2 linked regions of the Struthio camelus genome follow. The protein of the gene in region 1 interacts with the protein of each later gene in a biochemical or structural test. Links are inferred from orthologs where the notes say so. Each region holds a gene or a part of one and is shown in the gene's direction. Other genes may lie near its edges.

Region 1 (11,081 bases):
GGGACAAAACGGGGGGGGGAGCGGGGACAAAACGGGGGGGGGGAGCGGGGACAAAACGGGGGGGGGGGAGCGGGGACAAAAGCCAGCCCCGGGGACGAATTCGGGCGGCGCAGGTGAAATTCGGCAGCAGGGACGAAACTGGGTATCAGGGAGGAAACTGGACTAAGGGGACAAAAGCCAGCGGCGGGGCCGAAACCTGGGTCCTTCGGGGCAGCGCGAGGAGGGAGGGGAACGCAGGGCCAACCGCAGGCAGCCCAGTAACCCCAGTTTGTGCCGCTCTCTCCTCGCCCAGGCCCGAGGAGGCGCCGGCGCCATGGGCGAGAAGCCCAACGCGTGCCCGTACTGCGGCAAAGGTTTCCGCTGGAGCTCCCACCTGACGCGGCACCTGGGCACGCACGGAGGCGGCGGGCCGGGCCCGGAGCGCGCCGGCACGCCGCCGGCACCGCCGCCGCCGCGGCCTTACGCTTGCGAGCGCTGCGGCAAAGCCTTCGGGCGCAGCGCCCACCTGGCCCGCCACCGCGAGACCCACTCGGGCGAGCGGCCCTACCGCTGCGGCTGCTGCGGCAAAGCCTTCCGCCGCAGCGCCCACCTCACCCGCCACCGCGGCACCCACACGGGCGAGCGGCCCTTCGCCTGCGGCCTCTGCGGCAAAGCCTTCACCCGCGCCGCCCACCTCACCCGCCACCGCCTCACCCACACGGGCGAGCGGCCCTTCGCCTGCGGCGACTGCGGCAAGAGCTTCGCCCGCGCCGCCCACCTCACCCGCCACCGCGCCACCCACACCGGCGAGCGGCCCCACAAGTGCGCCGGCTGCGGCAAGGCCTTCGCCGCCGCCGCCCACCTCCTGCGGCACCAGCGCACCCACCGCGCCTAGACGCCCGCCCCGCGCTCCTTTTTTTCCCCCCTCCTTCTCCGCTCTTTTTCGCCGGGGGCGAAGAAGGGAGGGAGAAAACCCAGCGCCCCTTCCCGGGCCCGTTGCCTCCGTCCGGGCTGCCCCGTGCTGGTTTTTTCCCCCCCCGCCCCACCGCTGCGGGGGGGTATTCGGACTCACCCTTCTGCCCTGCCGTCGACCGGTGGGGGAAAACCCTTTCTGTTTCCCTTCCGTAAAGCCTCCCGGAGTCCCGGGATCGGGGCAAAAATCGAGGCTTTTCGCTCAGCACCATCTCAGTAGCTCTCCAGCGGGGCTCATCCAACCGGTTTCTCGTCTCCGCGCGAGGAAGCTCCTGATTTAGCGGCGGAGCGTCCCCTCCGCCACCCAAAGGCGTCTTAGCCCCTCCGGGACTCACTGCGCTCAGCCTCTCCGAAGGGCTCCCCGCTTTCTCGCCGGCCCCGCTGGAGGAAGACTCGAGGAAGACTCCGGCTCGAGGAAGTCGAGGTCGGCGTTGCCTCGTGCCGGTGGCCGCCAGGAAAACCAGGAGGCGAGAGACTTTTTTTAAGACAGTCGCCTCGGCGGTTTTTCCGGGTGGTACCGGCGGCGCGGCGGGGCGAGCTCTTCCCTGCCGCGTCCTCCTGTCGCGTCTCTCCGGAGCGAAGCACCCGCGGCCGACGCTCGTCGTCGTCCGGTGCCGCCTGAGCGAAGGTCTCGAGACGGTTCTCTCCTGAGCGGCCTTCCCGGAGCATTTCTCGCTCTTTCTCAAGACAGCCCCCTCCTGAGCCGGGTTTTGGTGGTTTTTCTTTTTGTTTTTTGTGATTTTTGTGTGAATTTTCCATATGAATTTCCAGCGTCCTTATCTTTAGCTCGGGGTGTCGTCTCTCTCCCCGCCGGGAACGGCCTCACAGCCTCCGCTCTCCTCCTCGGGGCCGGTCCCACATCCACGCCCGGTCGCTCGCTCGGCCCCTGGGATCCCGAAAACATCGCTCTCGGGGTGCGAGGGAGGACGGGAGCAGACAAGACTTTGCCGGGGGTGACCCTTGGCTGCGGCGGAGCAGCTTTGAGGACTCAAAGCTCCTTTAGAGACCCCCCAATGTCTTCTCTGTGGGTAAAAGAAGGCGTTAAAATGATTGAGAAGCGAAAGCGGGGCAGAATTAGGTGGGTAGAGGGAGCCGATGGGCGCCCTGGTTTGTGAACAGCGCCCGAGGGAGGCTGTTTGCCCCGGGCTAGTCGCCTTCCGGGGTTGCCAGGGTGGGAACAGAGGCTGAGGGAGTCGCCCGGGGGCTGTCCTGTGCACGGCCGGCCAGGTCCGAGGGCTTCTCCCTGCCCAGCGGGGCCAGGCGAGGCTTGCAGTGATTGTGGGGGGACACTGGGCATCCGGACCCGGCAAGGCCCAGGTTCAGGTCTAAGCCCACATCCAGGCCTAGGCCAAAGCCCTGACCGGGGCCCAAACCCATTCCCACACTTGGGCCAAGGCCCGGGCTCTTGTCTATGTCCAAGCCCAGATGCAGGCCCACATCCATGACCAGATTCAGGCCCAGGGCCACGTCCAGGCCCAGATCCAGGGTTAGACCCAGGCCCAGGCGCCTGCCCATGTCCAAGACCACGTCCACACCCAGCCCCAGGATGAAGATCTTGTCCACGCTCACGACTAGGCTCACATCCAGCCTCAGACCCAGCCTCAGGCCCAAATCCAGGCCCAGGCCCATGTCCCAGCCCTGACCCAGGTCCCAAGCCCCAAGCCAGGGCCTAGGCCTGGGCCCACATCATGGCCAGGCCCAGATCCAGGCCCAAGCCCCAAGCCCCAAGCCCCAAGCCCCAAGCCAGGGCCTAGGCCCACATCATGGCCAGGCCCAGATCCAGGTCCAAGCCCCAAGCCCCAAGCCAGGGCCTAGGCCTAGGCCCACATCGTGGCCAGGCCCAGATCCAGGCCCAGATCCAGGCCCAAGCCCCAAGCCCCAAGCCCCAAGCCAGGGCCTAGGCCCACATCATGGCCAGGCCCAGATCCAGGTCCAAGCCCCAAGCCCCAAGCCAGGGCCTAGGCCCACATCGTGGCCAGGCCCAGATCCAGGTCCAAGCCCCAAGCCCCAAGCCAGGGCCTAGGCCTGGGCCCACATCGTGGCCAGGCCCAGATCCAGGCCCAAGCCCCAAGCCCCAAGCCAGGGCCTAGGCCTGGGCCCACATCGTGGCCAGGCCCAGATCCAGGCCCAAGCCCCAAGCCCCAAGCCCCAAGCCAGGGCCTAGGCCCACATCATGGCCAGGCCCAGATCCAGGTCCAAGCCCCAAGCCCCAAGCCAGGGCCTAGGCCTAGGCCCACATCGTGGCCAGGCCCAGATCCAGGCCCAGATCCAGGCCCAAGCCCCAAGCCCCAAGCCCCAAGCCAGGGCCTAGGCCCACATCATGGCCAGGCCCAGATCCAGGTCCAAGCCCCAAGCCCCAAGCCAGGGCCTAGGCCCACATCGTGGCCAGGCCCAGATCCAGGTCCAAGCCCCAAGCCCCAAGCCAGGGCCTAGGCCTGGGCCCACATCGTGGCCAGGCCCAGATCCAGGCCCAAGCCCCAAGCCCCAAGCCAGGGCCTAGGCCCACATCATGGCCAGGCCCAGATCCAGGCCCAAGCCCCAAGCCCCAAGCCAGGGCCTAGGCCCACATCATGGCCAGGCCCAGATCCAGGTCCAAGCCCCAAGCCCCAAGCCAGGGCCTAGGCCCACATCATGCCCGGGCCCGGGCCCGGGCCCAGGCCCAACACACATCCAGACCCAGGCCCTGCCCCGTGAGAGCCCTGCCCTAGCCACAGCCATCGACTTTGCCCTCGGGCCGCCCCACCCCGGAGCCACTCCCGCCATTACTCCCTCCTGGCCACCAGAGGCAAACCGGAGTGACTCTGGATCGGGGAGGAGCCCCCCCCGTAAGGTATTTTAGAAGATGATTGGCTCAACAAGGTGTCAGTCAGAGCGACTGCCCCGCCTCCTGGAGGGCTGTGGCTGTCGATTGGCTGAGCGCCACGTTCATCTTTAAGACTCCGCCTTCCCTGTGGTGATTCGGTCGGTGATTGGTCTAGAGCCTGCCCCCTCTCCGGGCTTTGAGACAGCTTTCGCCCTGGAAGCCTAGCGGGGGGAGGGAAGCGCTTAGAGGAAGAGGATTGGCCTCCACGCCCTGTCAATCCTCGCTCTCCGGACGCCTATTGGGCTTCAGTTGCTGCCTCGCGCTGTTGAGCGAGCTGATTGGCCCGTCTCCCTTTAACCCCCGCCTCTCCGCGGTCGCGTGCAGGCGGGCCCTTCCCGCCTCTTTCCGTTTTCCCGCCTTCCCCGCCAACGCGCGCCTCCCATTGCCTCACCGCCCCGTCACTCCCCCGCAGACCCCGCCCCCCCTCGCCCCCTCCGCGGGCGCTGATTGGCGGAGGCGGGCGGCCGAGCCGAGCCGGGCTGCGCGCGCAGCTCGCCGTGGCGCGCGAGCCCCCCCCACCTCCCCCCCCCCGGTGCGGGGGGTCGAGCTGGAGTGGGGGGGGGAGCGGCGGCGGCGGCGCCGCCATGTCGGGGCCGGCGGTCGAGGCGGGCGGCCCCGGCGAGGCGCGCTCGGACTCGCTGGACCTGCTGGAGCGCTGCGGCGTGTGCCGGGAGCGGCTGCGGGCCGAGCGGGAGCCGCGGCTGCTGCCCTGCCTCCACTCCGTCTGCCGGCCCTGCCTGCGGGCCGAGCCGGGCCCCGCCGCTCCGCCGGCCGCCGCCAAGGAGGGGCCAGGTGGGGGCGGCGGGCACCGGGGGGAGGCGAGCTCACGGGGTGGGGGCGGCGAGGCCCCTGGGTAACCGGGGGGGGGCGTCGAGAGCCCGGGCTAACCGGGGGGGGGCGGTGAGGCCCCTGGGTAACCGGGGGGGGGCGTCGAGAGCCCGGGCTAACCGGGGGGGGGCGGTGAGGCCCCTGGGTAACCGGGGGGGGGCGTCGAGAGCCCGGGCTAACCGGGGGGGGGCGGTGAGGCCCCTGGGTAACCAGGGGGGGGGCAGTGAGGGCCCGGGCTAACTGGGGGGGGGGGTTGAGGCCCCTGGGTAACTGCGGGGGGGGGGGCGGTGAGGCCCCTGGGTAACCGGGGGGGGGCGTCGAGAGCCCGGGCTAACCGGGGGGGGGCGGTGAGGCCCCTGGGTAACCGGGGGGGGGGGCGGCGAGGGCCCGGGCTAACCGGGGGGGGGGTGGCGAGGCCCCTGGGTAACCGGGGGGGGGGGCAGTGAGGGCCCGGGCTAACTGGAGGGGGGGCGCCGAGGCCCCTGGGTAAGCGGGGGGGGGGGGGCGGCGAGGCCCCTGGGTAACCGGGGGGGGTAGTGAGGGCCCGGGCTAACCGGGGGGGGGGTGGCGAGGCCCCTGGGTAACCGGGGGGGGGCAGTGAGGGCCCGGGCTAACCGGGGGGGGGGTGGCGAGGCCCCTGGGTAACCGGGGGGGGGGGCAGTGAGGGCCCGGGCTAACCGGGGGGGGGGTGGCGAGGCCCCTGGGTAACCGAGGGGGGGGCGGTGAGGGCCCGGGCTAACCGGGGGGGGGCGGCGAGGCCCCTGGGTAACTGCGGGGGGGGGTGGCGAGGGCCCGGGCTAACCGGGGGGGGGGTGGCGAGGCCCCTGGGTAACTGCGGGGGGGGGTGGCGAGGGCCCGGGCTAACCGGGGGGGGGGGTGGCGAGGCCCCTGGGTAACCGGGGGGGGGGCGGTGAGGGCCCGGGCTAACGGGGGGGGGGAGGACTACAAAGGCCCAGGCTAATATGGGTGGGGGGGCGGCGAGGCCCCCGGCTAATGGGGTGGGGTGGGGGAGCAGTGAGGCCCCGGAATAACGGGGGCGAGGAGGGGGTGGCCAGGCCCCGGGCTAACTGGGGGGGGGGGGGCGATGAGAGCCTGGGCTAACTGGGGTGGGGAGCGATGAGGGCCTGGGCTAACTGGGGTGGGGAGCGATGAGGGTCTGGGGTAATGGGGGGTGAGGGGGGGGGCGGTGAGGCCCCGGGTCGACGGGGGGTGAGAGGGGGTGGCGAGGGCCTGGGCTAACGTGGGGGGGGGGGGAAGACTGCAAAGGCCCAGGTCGACGGGGGTGAGAGGGGGGGCGGCGAGGCGAGGCCCTGGGGTAACGGGGGGCGAGAGGGGGGGCGGCGAGGCCCCGGGGTAACGGGTGCGAGGGGGGGGGGGCGAGGCCCTGGGGTAATGGGGGGTGGGGGGGGGCGGCGAGGCCCCACGGTACTGCCGGAGGGGGGTTATGCAAGGGGAAAACGTTGCGCTGGGCTGTGCCGGGGTGGGGGGGGGGGAAGGTTGCCTGCGAGCGGCAGCAGGGGCCAGGCCAGCCGGGGAGGGGTGCGCGGGCCGGGCCCTGCAGCCGTCCGCAGGTCAGGAAGGGGCGGCGGGGGGGGGGGCGTAGGCGGCGCGAGGGCGCTGGGGTGAGGCAGGGTGGGCGTGCGAGGCTCGCGCGGGTGCTAAGCCGGGCAACGGAGGAGTAGATGGGTGCTCTTGATGCCCTTGGGTTCCCTGAGGGCTCCAACACCAATGAGCTCTTCCCAGAAAGCTGGTCCGTGTTTCCGGAGGTGGTTTGGGATGTCGGGTGGACCTTTAGGTCCCCTTTCACCAGCTCCCTTGGCCGCTCCCTGAACGTGCTGTGCTTGGTGGCTTCTGCTGGCCTCATCCCAGTTTGACACCGGCTTGTACCAGGAAGCTCCCAACTGCCCTGTGGCCCTGTTGGCCTTGCCCGGATGCCTGGGTCCTTCCCAGCGTGGTGTTGTCCCGCTCGTGGCAGAGCTTGGCGTTGCTCGTGGTCGCCTCTATGGAGGTTTCTCACCCCAGTCCTGGAGCCCCATTCTTTTCTTTCCCCTTGCCTTGGCATCTGCCAGGCAGAGAAGTTTCTGGAGAGATCAGAAGCGCTGCTTCCTCTCGCTGCCACCTGTGGTAGATGGTATCTCAACGGTCGCAGGTGGCTTACCCTTTCTCAAAGCCCTGGAGAGGAAGAGGAGGAGGAAGGGTAGACCGGTGGCTGCTTGGCTGTTGGTGGCAGAGCTGGGGGAGGCGGCGAGGGGTGCCTGATGTGGCTTCTGGTTGAGGAGGTTCAAGTTGGGCATCTGGAGAAAGTTCTTTGTCTGGAGGGGACCAGAGCAGTTGTGGGTTTCCGTCCTTAGAGGTTTGGCTAGGTGAAGCTGTCAGCGACCTAGTGCGGTGTTGGCAATGGTCCTGCTTTGGTTGAGGTTGGTGCAGGAACCCCTGGAAGCCCCGACCCTCCTGCCCCGGTGAGGTCAGCTGGGGAGAGACCCAGGGATGTGGTGGGCCTCTGTCTTTAGAGGTCTTCAAGGTTTGCGTGTGACCATGAGGGACCTGATCCAGGTGGACCCGTTTTGGCCTGGGGTTGGACCAGCAAGGTCCCCTCTGCCCTGCCCCAAGCAGGAATGGGTCCTGGTGAGTCTCCATCCGTGGAGGTATGCATCCTATGCGGAACCTGGTCTGTACTGGTCCTGCATTGGGCTCAGATTGGAGCAAGGACCCGCAGAGGTCCCGTGCAGCCAAAATCAGTGCTGACGAGTCCTCTTTGGATCTCCTGGCGTGACGGGGCACCCAGAGCATGCTTCTGCATGAAAAGTTTGGTTTCGGAGTGAAGTTTTCAGCTTGGCCTCGACAGCCATCCCATTTTTGAGGGTTTCTTAGCTCAGCGGTCAGATATCCAGGGCATCTTCCCGGCTGCTCCGGGTTCTTCCTTCTCGCCTTCCATTGGATGGGCTCTGCTGCCAAAAAACTCGTGGGAGAGGTTGCCTCCAGGCTGGGCTTCTCGGTCAGCCCCGGCGACCCATCTCTGCCGCCGCGGAGCTGCTTTGTCCCAGCCTGGCCGCTGCCACCTCCTTGCAGGAGGCTTCGGAGGGTGAAAAGGGGATGAGGCGTTGCGCAGGTCCCTTGGCCGCCTCCAGGGGAGTCTGGAGGGGCGAAACGCCACGACCGGAGCAAAACGCCCCAATCGGGGCAAAACACAGCAGGGGTTAGGGGCTGCTTCTCGTACCTTCCCCGCACCCACCCCACCGCTTCCCTCCCCACAGTGGTCGACTGCCCCATCTGCAAGCACCAGTGTAACCTGAAGGACATCGTGGAAAACTACTTCCTGAGGGACAGCGGGGCTGAGGCGGCTGCCGACAACAAGGACTTGAACCAGGTAAGGCCCCGTGCCGGCCAGGCGTTGATGCGGAGCTCCTCGATGAGGGGGGGCCAAGCTCGTAGCGCCTGTCCTAGCCGCTCCTCAGGGACCTCCTTGGTCTGTTGTGTTTGGGTGCTGTTATTAAGACAACGCATTATTTTTATCCCTGCCACGACAATGCTGATAGCCTGAATTAACTAATTGGTAATAATCCAGTTATATTGGGTTGTCCTTCCTCCTTCCCCAGTGGTTCAAGGGTTAATCATGCCTTTTTTTGGGGCATGCATTGCACAAGCTGGGCAAAACTGAAACTAAATTGTTCGTCCAATAAATAATGTGATGACGTGATAAAACAGGTCTGAAATAACGTGGCCAAAATGAGCTCCTAGTCGCTGGGGAGAGGTGGAAGTGTGAGTACAGCCTCCGTACGAGATGCGAGAGAATCCCTGCAGCCGAGGATTTGGGGCAGGCCAGGTCCCACACGTGTGTTTCCGAGCCCCACACACATGTCACCCCACGGATCCTTGTCCCCTAGTGCTGCACCAGCTGTGAGGACAACGCGCCGGCCACCAGCTACTGCGTGGAGTGCTCGGAGCCGCTGTGCGAGACGTGCGTGGAGGCCCACCAGCGGGTCAAGTATACCAAGGACCACACAGTCCGAGCCACAGGTCCGTTGCTGTCACCGCGCCAGGACATGCCAGCTTTTGGGAGGACGGGGACGTGGAGGGACGTTGAGCGGGGTTGGGGTGGTCCCTGTGTGCCTCCAGAAGGGCCACCGCAGCAGTTAGGGCCACCGCAGCAGTTGTAGCCATCCCGCAACGAGGTGGCGGGGGTCGGTGGCGTCACGGTGACATCGTGGTGATGTCGTGCCACGTTTCCCCACGCAGGTGGCTCCAAGGCGAAGGAGGGCGAGCGCGCCGTGTACTGCGCCGTGCACAAGCATGAGCCGCTGGTGCTCTTCTGCGACACGTGCGACACGCTCACCTGCCGCGACTGCCAGCTCAACGCGCACAAGGATCACCAGTGAGTGATTGGCAAGCCCGTCCACTTGCTAATTAGCGTCCTGACTAAATACAACCAAATTGATTTTTCACGGCTAATGAATCACTTGAAGAGATAGTAAGTTAGATCACTGATGCAATATGTTGATTTATGTCAAGTCAGATAACTGATCAAAGTCTGATTATCAATGAAAATTTGATTCTGTGGCCTATGTGTTCTGTAACTTGCCAGGGCCTGCTTTTAATTAATTTTGAATTAGTTGATTTTAGTTGATTTTTAGACTGAATTTTAAGGAATGACTAAGAAAAGTCAAACAACTAAGTAACTAGCTGGCTAGCCGATCAGTTTAACTTTGTTAGCTAGCAATTTAAAAAAATAAATCTTTAATCAACTGAATTTTGTCCAATAGATAACTTAGTTATGTAATATCTGGTTAATTATCTGTTTAGTTAGCAAGCTGATCAATTTTAGTTTTTAAGTTGGTTTTAGTTTTCAGTCAATTGGACTGTGATTAATTATCCATTAAAAATCTAACAAATCTTTTGCTAATGTATTAAATTATTTAATTTTTAACTAATTATTTTTCAGACTGATTTTAATGGATAAAACTGTTTAAAAATCTCAGATTAAAATGTGAACTGACTAATAAGCTGCTTGTTTAGTCGTCTAATTTGCCTAATAAGTTGCATTAGTTATTACTATGACTTGTTTTTATCATAAGAGTAAAGTTTGCGCATTCTAATTAATCACCTAATTAACCAGGTAAAGCTTGATGGTTTTAACTGATAATTAGATTGCTTAGTTATGTAACTGTTAGTCATTCCTTAAAAATCAGTTTAAGTGTTTCTTACTGATTATTTAGCTGATGAAGCTGTAAAAGTCATTTCATTTTTTTAAGTGATTAGTTTAAATATCCTGAATTTTAGTGGGTAAAATGTTCCGTTAGTTTTCTCATTTGTTGTTTACTAAAATTCATTTAAAATATGATTGATTTCTGAATCGGTAGTCATCAAGTTAGCTCGCCTTTTTTTATGATTGTTTGAATTGTAACTGATAAATGTGGTTAGTTAGCTGCTTATCTGGTTATCTTTTAATGGCTGATAGTTTGATTGGTTGTCTGACTAATTGGCCATTAAAAATGGATTTAATATGAAACTTGACTGATAAAGATAGGCAGCTCATTTGAGTGAAATTGATTTTTAGTAGGTGATTAATGGATTTTGTTAGCTTGACCAGCTGCTTAGTTCTGCCAGCTGTTTAACCCATATTGATTTTATTTATTTTAATGGCTTAATAGCTTTTAGGTTTTAAGTGGCTTTTTTGATGGCTTTTTTTGTTTTTAATGGCTTAACTAGCTTAATGAAGAAGGTGAGCTCAGCAGTGAGCAGGTTAACTAACTAAAGTAGATTTGCTACTCTGGTGAGCCCTGGAGTTAAGTCTGCGAGATTATTTCTGGGACCCCCAACGGTTGTGTTAGGGGGATGTGGATCAGTGTGGACAAGGCCATCCTGGTGTTTTGGGGACCGCCGCTGACCCCATTTCCCCCCCCTGCAGGTACCAGTTCCTGGAGGACGCGGTGAGGAACCAGCGCAAGATGCTGGCGACGCTGGTGAAGCGCCTGGGCGACAAACACGCCAGCTTGCAGCGCTCCACCAAGGAAGTGCGCAGCTCGTACGTACCCCCACCTGCCCCGGGCAGGGGGATTTGCCCCCAGCGAAGAGCATCCGGCCCCCCTCACCGTTGGCCTTCTCTGCCGGCAGCATCCGCCAGGTGACGGATGTGCAGAAGCGGGTGCAGGTGGACGTGAAGATGGCCATCCTCCAGATCATGAAGGAGCTGAACAAGCGTGGCAAGGTGCTGGTGAGCGACGCTCAGGTGAGCTTCTCCTCTTACCTCGTGTCTGCGCTCTGGGGTCTTGGGGAGCAGCTGTGTCCCCCTAACAGCATCCGTTATGTCCTGGTCTGTCCTCGCTGATGGTGGTTGTGTTTCCTCTCCTTGCAGAAGGTGACGGAGGGGCAGCAGGAGAAATTGGAGCGGCAGCACTGGGCCATGACCAAGCTGCAGCGGCACCAGGAGCACATCCTCCGC
Region 2 (11,666 bases), on another chromosome or scaffold:
AAAGTGAGTAAATACATACACACAGAACAGATTTTGAATTTCCTTTTTGAAAAGAGTTGGGAGGCACAACAAGGAATGTTAAAAGTCTTCGGCTTGTTCATTTTACAAGCTTTATTACAAGCAAAATAGGTAACAGCCACCATCTGTCAGCTGCACTGCTTATTTAAATTTCGTTTTCCACGCACTCATCCTTTTCTTCTTCTTTGGGAACTGCAGCCGCCAGGGTGCTGACAACCACCGTTCACTTTAACACTGCCCTCTGCTGGGGCGTCCTATGAGAAGTTACCACAGGAAAAGCTGTAATTTGCTTTCTGGCACGGATGCTTACTAACGTGCTTTCTATGTTAGAAAAGACAGAGGTATTCTCCCCGCATTTAACCGTTAGGACAGCTGAGAACACCTGATTATATTTACCGAACAAAAGATAGCTTTTATCCACACTTAGTACAGCATTCATTATTGCAGAGTAATTGAAACTGTCCAAAATCCAAACCCAGTCCCACTGAACATAGCAGCTGGATTAAAAATATTAGTATACCACTAACTCTTGACTATCCAAAAAATGTTGTAAGTGTTATATGGTCATCTTTAGGAAGAAGAACGTTTATTTTAGCTACAAATCATTCAACAGTTGCTTAGATAGATCTCATCCTAAAGTAAGAAATGTATGTATCTGCTACCAAAACAAATTAGTAGAACTAGTATTTGAAAGTATCATTAAAATGAGCATTTACAATAATTAATATGATGAATAACAAAAAGATTATTTTTGTGTTTTTCCTCACAACCAATTAATACATTTTTTAAAAAAGAATATGTACATATATGTTATATAAATATATTTTTAACTGAATACCGTTACCAGTTATCTACAGCTATGAACATTAATTGCATTAGTAACACATATATAGCTTTTGTCATCTTTTAAAACCATGACTATATTCCAAAATGTTATTTTCATGCAGTTGGCTCATAATACGTAACCATATCACATGTTGAATGAAACTAATGAATAAACCATCATTTCAGTTGCATCAATAACAAAATTCTGTTTTATAAAATATTTTTCATATGAGCCTTATTCTAGGATCTTAACACGGCCAGTAAATGGAGCTTTGCAATGAGGAAATACTAAAAGATAAAAGTGGCAAGAAAGAAGGTTCGTGACGTATGTCAAATAGTCCTACCTGTAGGGATAACGGACTTCAGATCCCCCCCCCCCCCGTAGGAAGACAAGCGCCCTCAAAATACCTTTAACCTGGAGAGGAGGCAGGGAGGACTCTTACCGTGGACAGCTCATCACACCCCAGCAAGTTGTAGTAATCTTCCAAGTCATCCGGGCTGTAGGTCAAAATCGCATCCATCTGGGTGAGCCCGGTGGCCTTCCTCAAGCTGAGGCACTGGGGATGTAGAATATGAGAACCAATGCAAAGCTCACAGACTGCTTTAAAAGTAGCCAAGGGAAATAAGCTATTTCCACTCCGGTCTACAGCTCTCTCCAGTGCTTTTTAACAGAGGGAGCTGAGACACATGAAGTCTCGGGAACTGCTCTCCATTGGCCCCTGCAGGATGCCAATCCGGTTGCACAAGCCTGCTGATGGCAATGCTCCCTGGGACTTGTAGTTGCCAAAGTAATTGCAACATTAAACTCTGGCTCTGGTACCGACTGGAAAGAATTCAGGATACTAAGTAAAATCTAGCTGTATTTGAGACTTCAGTCCTGCCACCATGCATACATCCACTTAAAATCAGGCGCACACTTAAAAGGCTTGCCTGCACCGGGACCCACATGTATTAAAATATATATTCTGCTTAATTTTCAGTTGTAACTTCTGCCTCAACTTTTGACAAGGGGATTATATAGATAATTATAGAAAAGAGTGCGGATTACTTCAAAAACAATGATCATAAGGCTGCAAAGTTCTGTGGATGAAGCCCTGGCCTTGCCAAAGCCCCCAAGACTTCTGTCCGTCACTGCAAGAGAGCAGGATGAATCTTTAGTTTTTGAAGACTACTACATAGGACACAAAGGTAATTTATTCTTCAGAAACAAATTCATCGTTTTTGTACATCAATTTTGTGTCTGACAAAGTTCAGACTATGAAAATAAAATACTTGTTTTCTGTTATCAAAAGAAATATTTTTCTCATGTACAATTACTTTCAAATTCTGTCTTGAAGGTCTTTATCGTGCGTGTAGTAAACATGCCTTGTAAAACTCATTTCACATTGAAGTGAAATGCCTGAAGTTTGAGCAGTGATTAATGATCAAGGCCTCGGTCACATAGAGACTACTGATATGATTTACTGTACTTTCCTATGATCCGTGGATTTAAACAAAAAAAAAAAAAATTCCTAGGTGTAATACCAGCCATTCACTAAAGCCTTTCCCCTGGAGCCTACGGAGCACTCTTGTTTCCCTCCGTCCCTGCCAGAGCTTTGTAATGCAAGGTGTTTAAGGTCATTAAATAGTGCTTATTCTTTAAAAACACTACTTACCAATTTATATCTTGAATATTTAATCAATTTTAGATGCAGTGACCTAGTAAGTCACTAGTAAGTGAGTGTCAATGTGGAACAGATGCACAGGGTGTAACTGTGGCTAGACTAGCTGTATGTTAATCAGGGAGAACCTAGTGGCAATTCCAAATATTTTTGTATTTACAACTGCTTTATTTTTATTACTGTTTTATGATATATATTATTAATCTTTTAAAATTGTCTATTAGCCTTCCACTGCTTTCTCTTTAACACAGAAGGCTGTACTGTCTGAAATTTTCTATTTTACTGTACATTCAGATAGTCTATTAAGATAGTAAAATATATAAAGTACACAAAAGAGCCTATAATATATAATTAAGTATTTAAAGTATTAATTAAAATTGTGTATTTTATTAAACAACAAAGCACAAAGCTCAGTGGAACGATTTAAATCTGCTAGAAATCATAATTATCATATTTCTCAGAGCAGATAAAACAGCTAATCTATTTTTTTCAACAAAGTAGAAGAATTAACAATTACAAATCTTTCCCACTCCCCCATTTCTAACAAACCATAAAAGCATAATAGAAAAAATAAAGCCTTTTAGCAAGAGATCGTGTAAATATTTAAGTAGATTGTACTTGGGGGAGGACAAAAAACAAACAGCTGTCCCTGTTCCCCTGCCGCACTTCTGACATACCGTTCTCGTCCAAGTATTTCTCGCATATTTGCGTAAGGTGAAAGGGAAGGATCTTTAACCCTATTTTCCTCCAGATTTTGGTAGCTATTTTTGTGCTGCAAGGTGAACTGCAGATCCAAGAGCAGGATTCAGCAGACTAAACCCTGAGACTCGCGAGTTTCTCTTTCACTCTGGTCAGGAAGTGCCATCCAGGAGATTTGTCGGCTGAGGCCCTGGACCCGTCCATAATCCGTCCATTGGGACTGAATAATGAAGAGCTTGACCGGCACTGCCGCAGCGAGCACATTGGAGTTCCCTCCTCCCAAAGCGTTCTCATGCTTGGGACAAAAACACCCCGGTAGCACGGTCTGAAGGTTTGAACGTGGATGACAGCTAAATCTGAACTGGAGAAGGCTCAAAACAATGCGTAACTACCAGCGTATGCACGTTCACCTGGAATGAACAAACCAGCCCCTTATTATCAGTTTAGTTTGCATTATTAATAGAAAAAACATGAATCCAAATGTCATCACCTTTACCGATACTGAACAGTAACTCAACCTATTACTACTCCTACTGATCTCAGCAGGACAACCCACAGGGCAAGGCATCTTTGGAAAGGAGGGTAAGAGAACCTGCATACAATACACAGGAAAAAATACAATGATTGTTCTCAAGACATAAACTTTATGCCAAAGAGAATCAGGGTGCAGGAGATGGCACAGTCTGTGTGTACCTGCGTTTTGCTTGGTGTTGCTCAGAACGTACAAACAGTGCAGAGCGTGAGGAAATCTGATGTTTGTTCTCTGTACCAACCACAAACAAAATGTTTCTATTCACTTGTAACGTATTATCCACAATTTTGCTGGCTTTGAGTCATTTACAAGTGAAATAACATGACACCAAAGCTTGCTTCAGCATAACAGAAGGTTTGCCATCAACTTACAGAAGTCCAAAATGGCCCTTTAAATAAATCAGCAAAATCTGTAAATCCGTATTTTGAATCGATTAGGTGGGAATTTATTCCCATAAAATGCATGAAGTTCTTCCAGTATCAGTTCTTCTCAATTGACTTTGGTTGTTTTGCTTCCTGAGGACAAAGAGTATACATTTTCACAAAGTTCCAGGCACAGTATCACTGAGCTTTGCGTTTCATGCTCTGGCCTTGTCCCAACGCATGCTTAGAGCTGCGGAAACAGGAGAGGACCTGACCTAAGCAGCACTAAACTGGCTTCCCAAGTTAGGGGCAACTACTGCTGTAACACTATTAACACCCATAAATGCTTGCAACATCCGTATCAGCTTTAGGGGCCTTGATTTATTTCCTCACCACTACCTTTTCCGGAAAGCTTTAGATCATGTACTTACTCAGGTGAGATAGTTTCTTCGTTAGAACACTGTCTTCATGTTAATATTGTAATTTTGGTGTGTATTTAAGTCACGCCTCTCCTAGATAGCTGACAAAAGTATCATGCACGTGCTGTTATAATAATCTGAATCTTACCTCAGCTTCACTAAGGATTTAAAGAATGCATACATTCAGATTTGCACAGAATAATAAATGATGCTATGATTCACATTCAGTTACTTCACAGCTTGTTTTTGAGAAATAGTTCCTCAATAAAAGAAATGTAAAGTTTCAGAAATGGTATGTTTTTCCAGGGATTTTGTTGTTAATAACTGGAAGAACTAAAGAAAAAAAAAATAGATTTTTTTTCCTCCTCATAATCACTTATACTGCCTATAAAACCAGTTATATAGAAAACAATTCCTTTGGAAGCCCAAACTAAGTATCAACAGTTTTAACCAAAAGTATAGGGTTTTTGTTTTGTTTTGTTTGTTTGTTTGTTTAAGTTGATGGTATCAAGGCCTGAAAGGGATACATTCTGCCTGCCTAATCTCAGCCTTGCCACTAAACTTAAGGATTTTGTTGTAATAAATTCACTAAAATTATTCTGTAAATAGCTTGTGATATTAAGCAGTGGCACATTAAACCAAACAGTATTTACATTTATATCCATAAAGCTTAGATCAAAACGTTCATGTAGGCAGATAATTATTAGGTAATAAAACCAAAGCAGCTGCAAAAAAATACTTATCCTTTTAAAGTTCAGAGTTGATTTTTCAAAAGCACACTGATTAATATTAGTTCAGTTCAGGAACAAGTAAGCAGATGAAACAATGATGTAAAACCAATGTAGCCAACACTTCACACAGCTGACTGGGGTTATTTCATTCTTTAATTTGTTATTGTGAAAGAGAAAATAAAACAAACAGATATTATACATTTCAGAGCCTATTGACAGAGCAAAAAATACAAGCAAGAGAAATTAAAATATTCTCAGATATCTTTCACATTGGTATTTCAACTGAAATTCAGCAAAGCACAAAAATGAACGAGAACAGCATGTTTTACAAGGGCAGTTCCCTCCACCCCCTCTGTTTCACTTCTACTAAACAAAATTTTACGTGGTCAACAGGGGTCTGCATAATGTTTGAACTGTGTCCAGCCCAACATTTTGATTCCCTAAAATTCCAAATTTCAAATAGTCTATAAAAGCAACAGGATAACAACTACACAGTTGTCTGACCACTACTGTATCTTGCAAGGTGCAGTAAGAAAGATGCCCATGCCAGCGTGAATTGAGTATATTACAAACCTGACAGATGGGGTCAATGCCCCATCTGCAAGGGGAAACAAAGCCAAGGCAGACAAAACCAGAAACCACATGCATAAGCAAAAGTATAAAATTTAAGTAAAAATATTATTGACAATCTATTTGCATCAGCCCAAGCCTGGGGTCAGAAGTCAGCTCTCTGAGCTGCCTGCGTGACGGCCATTTAGTGCCGCTTGGAAATCTGGAAGCCTACTGCACTGTTTAGGGTTGTGGACATCAGAAAGGCCTGGGGAAGTGGCCAAAACCAGTCCAAACAAGACTTCCAAGTAGAAAGAGATAAAATAACCAAAGAAAACGTGGTAGCTCTGTATGCACTATACAATGATGGTCCACAACCAAGCATCAAGGCTTGGTTAGCCTTGATGCCGTTAGAAGGCTGCCTCTATAAGTAATGCTTAAATAACAGAGGTCACTAAAAACACAGATCACCACAGTTGCTAGCGTATGTGCCATGAGGGAACAGGGACATGAAAACGAATGAAATTGTGAATATCACTAGAGCAAACCCCTGCTCTTGCAGTTTACCATCAGGTATCTAGTAAATTGTGTAGGCTTCGCTCTTTAAAACACAAAGTGTTAAGGTAGGTTCTGGAAAACCCACGTGACAAACTTCTTCCAACTCAAGAGTTTAAGCAGCATGGTAATGTTCAAGCATCCCTACCAAAAGCTCAACCAACAGATGCAAAAATCCTTCAGTGCAGTCAGCAGACAAGCTGACTGCCCAAGCAAAGGCTGAAATCCATTAAGTATCTCCCTTTTTATCCTCAGGTCAGCCAGCTCCACGTTTACAGAAAAGCATTTACAGACCTTTCAGTAAAGTTACCTGACAGGCAAATGTACCAAGAGAGAGATCCTTACAAGTTTTTGGGGGCAGGTTTAATCCCACCACCCCAAGACAGCTACAGAGAAATCCAACAGAAGGGATGAAGTCAGTGACAGGAAACACCTTTCCCCACCCCCCCCCTTCAGCAAGACGCATTGCGTATTTCATATCCTCGTTCTAAAGATCATTGTAAAGAAGAGCGAGGGCTTTTTTCCTCTCTCTCTTTTTTTCTTTTGTAAATACTTAACGGGAGAAACAGGTAGACCTACGACGGAAGCCCGGAACCGCCATTTGCCGGGCACTGTCCCACCACAGGCGCCAGCTCCTGCGGCGGACTTCGGGGAGGGGAAACAAACTTCAGGCAGAACTCGGCGCCTCCCTTCTCCCGACCTCGCTCGGGCAACGCACGGGCACCGGACACAGCCCCGGGCCCGGCCGGAGCGACCGTTACGTTCCCCCTCAGCGGCGGCCGCTACGCTCCCCTCAGCGGCGGCGCTCCGCCCCCTCGCGGGCGGGGCTCCGCGCGGCCACGTGACGAGCAACCGCCGTGGCGCGAGGGGTGTGCACGTCGCGGGGGGGGGGGTGCGCGAGGGCTCAGCCGGCACGGGGGTCACGTGCCGCTGGCCGCACCCCCCCCCCCCCCGCCGCGGCCTACCCCCGTCACGTGACCCGGTTTGTTGTTGTTGCGGCCGCGGCGGGGCGGGTGCCCGCGTGGGCGGTGGCGTGGTCACGTGCCGCGTTTAAATCGCTCCCTGGGGGTGGGGGAGGGGGCGGTGGCGCTGCTGCGCGCTGCGCCGGGCGGGAGGGAGGGAGGAGGAGAAGGGGGGGCGGCGGCGGTTGCTACTCCAAGATGGCGGACGGGGAGGCTCCGCTCCTCCAGCCCCGCGGCGGCGGCGGCCCCGGCGGCGCGGCCGAGAGCGCCGAGCCCGCTCCCAAACGCCAGCGCCTCGACTCGGAAGACGGCGGCGGCGGGCGGGGAGCGGCAGCCGCCCAGCACCCGGACCGCGGCGCGGGGCCGGCGCCCGCCGCCGCTGTGACGGCGGAGCTGCCCGGCGCGGCGGCGGCGGCCGTGACCGCCGAGCGCGGCGGCGGCGGCGGCAGCGAGGAGGACGGCGGCGGCGGCGGCGGCGAGGCGGCGGCGGCAGGCTGGAGCGGCGCGGACAATAGGGCCGGGCCGCGGGGCCTGGCCCGGGCGGAGCCGCCTCGGCAGCCGCGGCAGCGGGGCCGGGGGGAGGGGGCGGAGGCGGCGCCCGGCGACGACGCGGCGGCGGCGGCCATTGGCTGCAGGCGGGCGCAGTGTTCAAACGGGGCGGCCGCGGCGCCGGCCCCGCAGCCCGGTGAGCAGCGGCGCGGGGCGGGGCGGGGCGGGGCGCGGCTCTCTCGTGCCGTTAGTCGCGGCCGTTGAGCGCCGGCGGGAGCCGGCGGGCGCCTCTGTCTGCCCGGCCTCGGGCCGGTTTGCTCGCGCCCCTCTGGCCGCTCGTGCCGGGCTTCGGGGCAGGAGGCCGGCTCCGCTCGCGTCTCTGACACCTTCTTTCTCTTTCTTTCTTGTTTTTGTTGTCTGGGAGCTGTGTTTTTGGCAGTAAGGAGTTATTGGAAATGAAAAATCCCGAGCCCCGTTTCCTCCTCACGATTGCTGCTGTGATAACGTATTTGCGCTTGTGCTTCTCAGAAGCGTTTGTGAAAGGGACAGGAGCAGCTGTCTCCACCAGCTCTTGCAGTAAACTCTAGTTACAGCCCTGTCTGCGATGTCAGCGGCCGGAGCGCGAAACTGAACTCTCGGCCTCTAAAAACATGTGCTTTGCAGGCATGCTGTTTGGGCAGTATCTGTACGCAAGGACCTTGAATTTTTTTTTTTAAGGTGGTACTTGGGAGAGACTTCTTAAACAGTAAAAGACGTTGCGTTCTGCCAGTAAGGCCTTTACATGCAGTTAAAGATATTTTTCCTTTAAGCTGAGTGAAGCTCTGCAGACAACTTGTGCTGGTGGCGGAGCTGTGCGGAAGGGAACAGGGGCCGCACGGCATGCGTGGACAGCCCCGTTGCTCCAAAACTTCATTGGAGCAGCAGGAGAGTTGAACTAACGATTCCTTTGTAAACGCCTTGGACGAAGCCTTCTTGCTCAAGTTACTCAAATCCTGGGCATGTTCTGCTTTGTATCAGTTACTTCTGGCAAGAATTGCCTTTATTCCTCTGAGGAATCAAATAACTGCACAGGGAGTGTTACAATTTAAACAGTTACTTTAGCCTGGTTATCACAGCATTTCATAAATACAAGATAATGGGTGACCTTTCTGTGATTTGAGTCTTTTAACAATGTAGCTTTGATTCCTTACATGGTAGACATAGGAGGTAGTTTTACTAAAACTTAACACTTCACATTTACTGATGTGTACTAATCACTTGTTTTCTTTCTTCATAATTGCAATTATGAAGAAAAGAGTTATGAAGAAGTGATTAGCACACATCAGTACTAATGCATGATGAGATGGAATGAAAAACTGCTGCAAGTGTCTGGATTAATAATAAGAAATAGTAAGTGCAGAAGAACAAAACAGCAAATATAAAAGTGCAGTTCTGTCCTCTACTCTTTTTCCATTCCAATCAGAATAAAGTATTAATGCAAATGAGGAAAAGGTGAAGAATGTGACAACGCAGTCTCTGAATAAAAAATAGTGTTCTGTGGTGCTCTTTATTTAAGAGTGAAGTAACCTAGCTGAAACACTATTTTGAAGGTTGAAAACTGCTATAAAGATTCTTTGCTTTGGAGAGGATGACTGTAACTTGTCCTCATTTGGTTATGATCTTGGATTTTTCAACAAATTAAGCTACAGTTGCTGTACCTGTTTTCTAACAAATGGAAAGGACAAACCAAAAGTCTTAGTGGGTAATATTCTGATAAGGTGCTGAGGGTGACATTGACGCTTCCCTCTAACCGTTCCGTCAGTGAGCTTAACGTGTGTTGTGAAACAAGTACCCCTTTCCTCTCTGGGCTCCCTAATCTAGACGCACAGTCGAGTTAGATGGAGTTAACTCTGGCTTGCTTAGGCTCAGCCAGCGGCCTTAGCTCTGTGGTGCTCTTAACCAAACCCTGCTGCAAGGTAAAATGGGTGAGTTGAGTTTCATGCAGATGGTTGAAGACAGCACGTTTTCTGTCATAACTGTAACAGGATAAAAGTGTGTACAGTGTGTACAGGCTTTTATCCTGTTTCAGTTATGACAGCAAATGTGGTCAGCTATTGCAGCTCAGCTGACAGATAGCAGCCCAACAAATGTGTGTAACTCAGCTGTATCTGACTGCGTATTTGTGGGTCTTTTTAGTGTTGTGCTCTTAAAATCTAGTTGACGACTGATCTGTAAATGGTGGTGCATTAATTTAACTGTATTCAGTCTCAGAATGAGAGCTGTGTGAAGTGAAGATTGTAGGAGAAAGGAATTACAATTGTCAGACATTTGGAATTGTTTTAAATAAAATACAAAAAACCGTAGTGCCCAGCACTTTATAGAATGAAAAGTCACTAAGGCCAACATCCAGGCCACTGAAGGCCGGTATTAATATAATAAATCCTGCAGTAATTCTAATAATATCTACAAACTTGAGGGGAAAAAAAAAGGTAAATGTAGGATAGAAATTTTGTCTTTAAATAGCAAAGTTGCCTGTCATACTATTTGTAATTCATTGCAAGTCAACTTTAAAAGTGTACCATTTTAGTTTTTGTGATATATTTAAATATGTACCTGTGCCATTTGGCTCAAGCGTTGTAATATGTCCCTGTTGTGCTGTCTTGCAGATAACTTCCTTTTTAGCGATGAAGTCATAGCCAATGGTTTCCATTCCTGTGACAGTGATGATGATGACAGAGCCTCACATGCAAGTTCTAGTGATTGGACTCCAAGACCACGTATAGGTAGAAACTTATATACCGTTCTTCTAGCTTCAGTTTACTTTTGAAGTGTTACTTAATTCTTCCCAGTCTTCAAAGGATTTATTTTGCTGTTGCAGAAGACTTACAGTTACTGCCTTTTCAGCAGCCTGGAATTGCTGACGGTATTCTGTGTGATGTTTAAGGAGATTAAAAGTGCATCTCTCTAAATTTGCTGTATTGTCATTAAAATTGTCAATAGCTTTTTTGTGCAGAAATCCTGCCCTGATCTACGTTAAAAGTAGGCACACAAACTCACTGCATTGAACAGATTTATGGCATATTTCTAACGTATTTACTTAGCATTATTCATACTTGAAGGAACAAGACACGTTCTTATGTGATTTTAGGCACGTGAGTCTGTAGGGCTTACTGGCCTAAGTGCTATATCACTTTGGGAATTATTAGTTGGCCTAGCTATTGCATTTGTGAAGTTAAGCATGGCAGTTGGGAACTCAGTAGAAAACAGTAGATCTTGCCTTGCACAGAGGTGAGACAAGCGCTGATGAGGTGACTGGTGGCTTGTGTGGGGAAGGGGCTCCCAGGTCCTGCTGGGGTTGGAACTTGAGGTCTTGTGTCTTACACGGGCACGATGGTACTGCAGTGATGACTTTGCCACTCTTGATAAGAATAGCAGCAAGAGAACATCTTAAGGCAATGCAGTATTTCACTGTAAATCTGCCCGTATGTTGCTGATCCCATGTTACAGAATGGGTACATGCAGAATCACTGCATGTACCTTTAGGGTAAACATATGTGATGTTTCTTTTCTTTTAGGTGTATTGTAACTAGCCTTAATGGTAGCTGTTTGGATCCTATTTGTTTGTTTAGCTTCTTAAGGCTTACCTTTTTTTTTTTTTTTCCTTCTTCTACCTCTCTATTCCTGAGCGTTTTTGGAAAGATTGATTTGATAGCTTTAGGAAATCCTGCCTGGAATCATGAGGGGTAGAACAACAAAAAATCCAGTTGTTGGTCAGCCCTATTTGTCCATTTAGAGTGGTGTTTTATAACATGATTAGAAGGTACGCATATGTACGTTGTCTCTTCAACTTATTTGTGTATATATCTTACAAAATATTGGAAAAAT

The links.
Region 2: of the proteins of TRIM28 (region 1) and SIRT1, one has a biochemical effect on the other in vitro, tested with the Homo sapiens proteins (2 studies listed by BioGRID). The link is inferred for Struthio camelus from reciprocal best matches to the Homo sapiens genes TRIM28 and SIRT1.

The regions. Positions count from the first base shown.
Region 1 is NC_090975.1:271,857-282,937, forward strand, and holds the start of TRIM28 (transcription intermediary factor 1-beta), read left to right. Parts: upstream 1-4,373; 5' UTR 4,374-4,398; coding exon 4,399-4,606; intron 4,607-7,896; coding exon 7,897-8,009; intron 8,010-8,526; coding exon 8,527-8,659; intron 8,660-8,878; coding exon 8,879-9,014; intron 9,015-10,547; coding exon 10,548-10,664; intron 10,665-10,753; coding exon 10,754-10,868; intron 10,869-10,994; coding exon 10,995-11,081. Other genes in the region: ZNF324B (zinc finger protein 324B), read left to right, coding at 314-874. UniProt on the Homo sapiens protein: Nuclear corepressor for KRAB domain-containing zinc finger proteins (KRAB-ZFPs).
Region 2 is NC_090948.1:38,568,121-38,579,786, forward strand, and holds the start of SIRT1 (NAD-dependent protein deacetylase sirtuin-1), read left to right. Parts: upstream 1-7,491; 5' UTR 7,492-7,511; coding exon 7,512-7,998; intron 7,999-10,447; coding exon 10,448-10,564; intron 10,565-11,666. Other genes in the region: DNAJC12 (dnaJ homolog subfamily C member 12), read right to left, coding at 1,287-1,364. UniProt on the Homo sapiens protein: NAD-dependent protein deacetylase that links transcriptional regulation directly to intracellular energetics and participates in the coordination of several separated cellular functions such as cell cycle, response to DNA damage, metabolism, apoptosis and autophagy.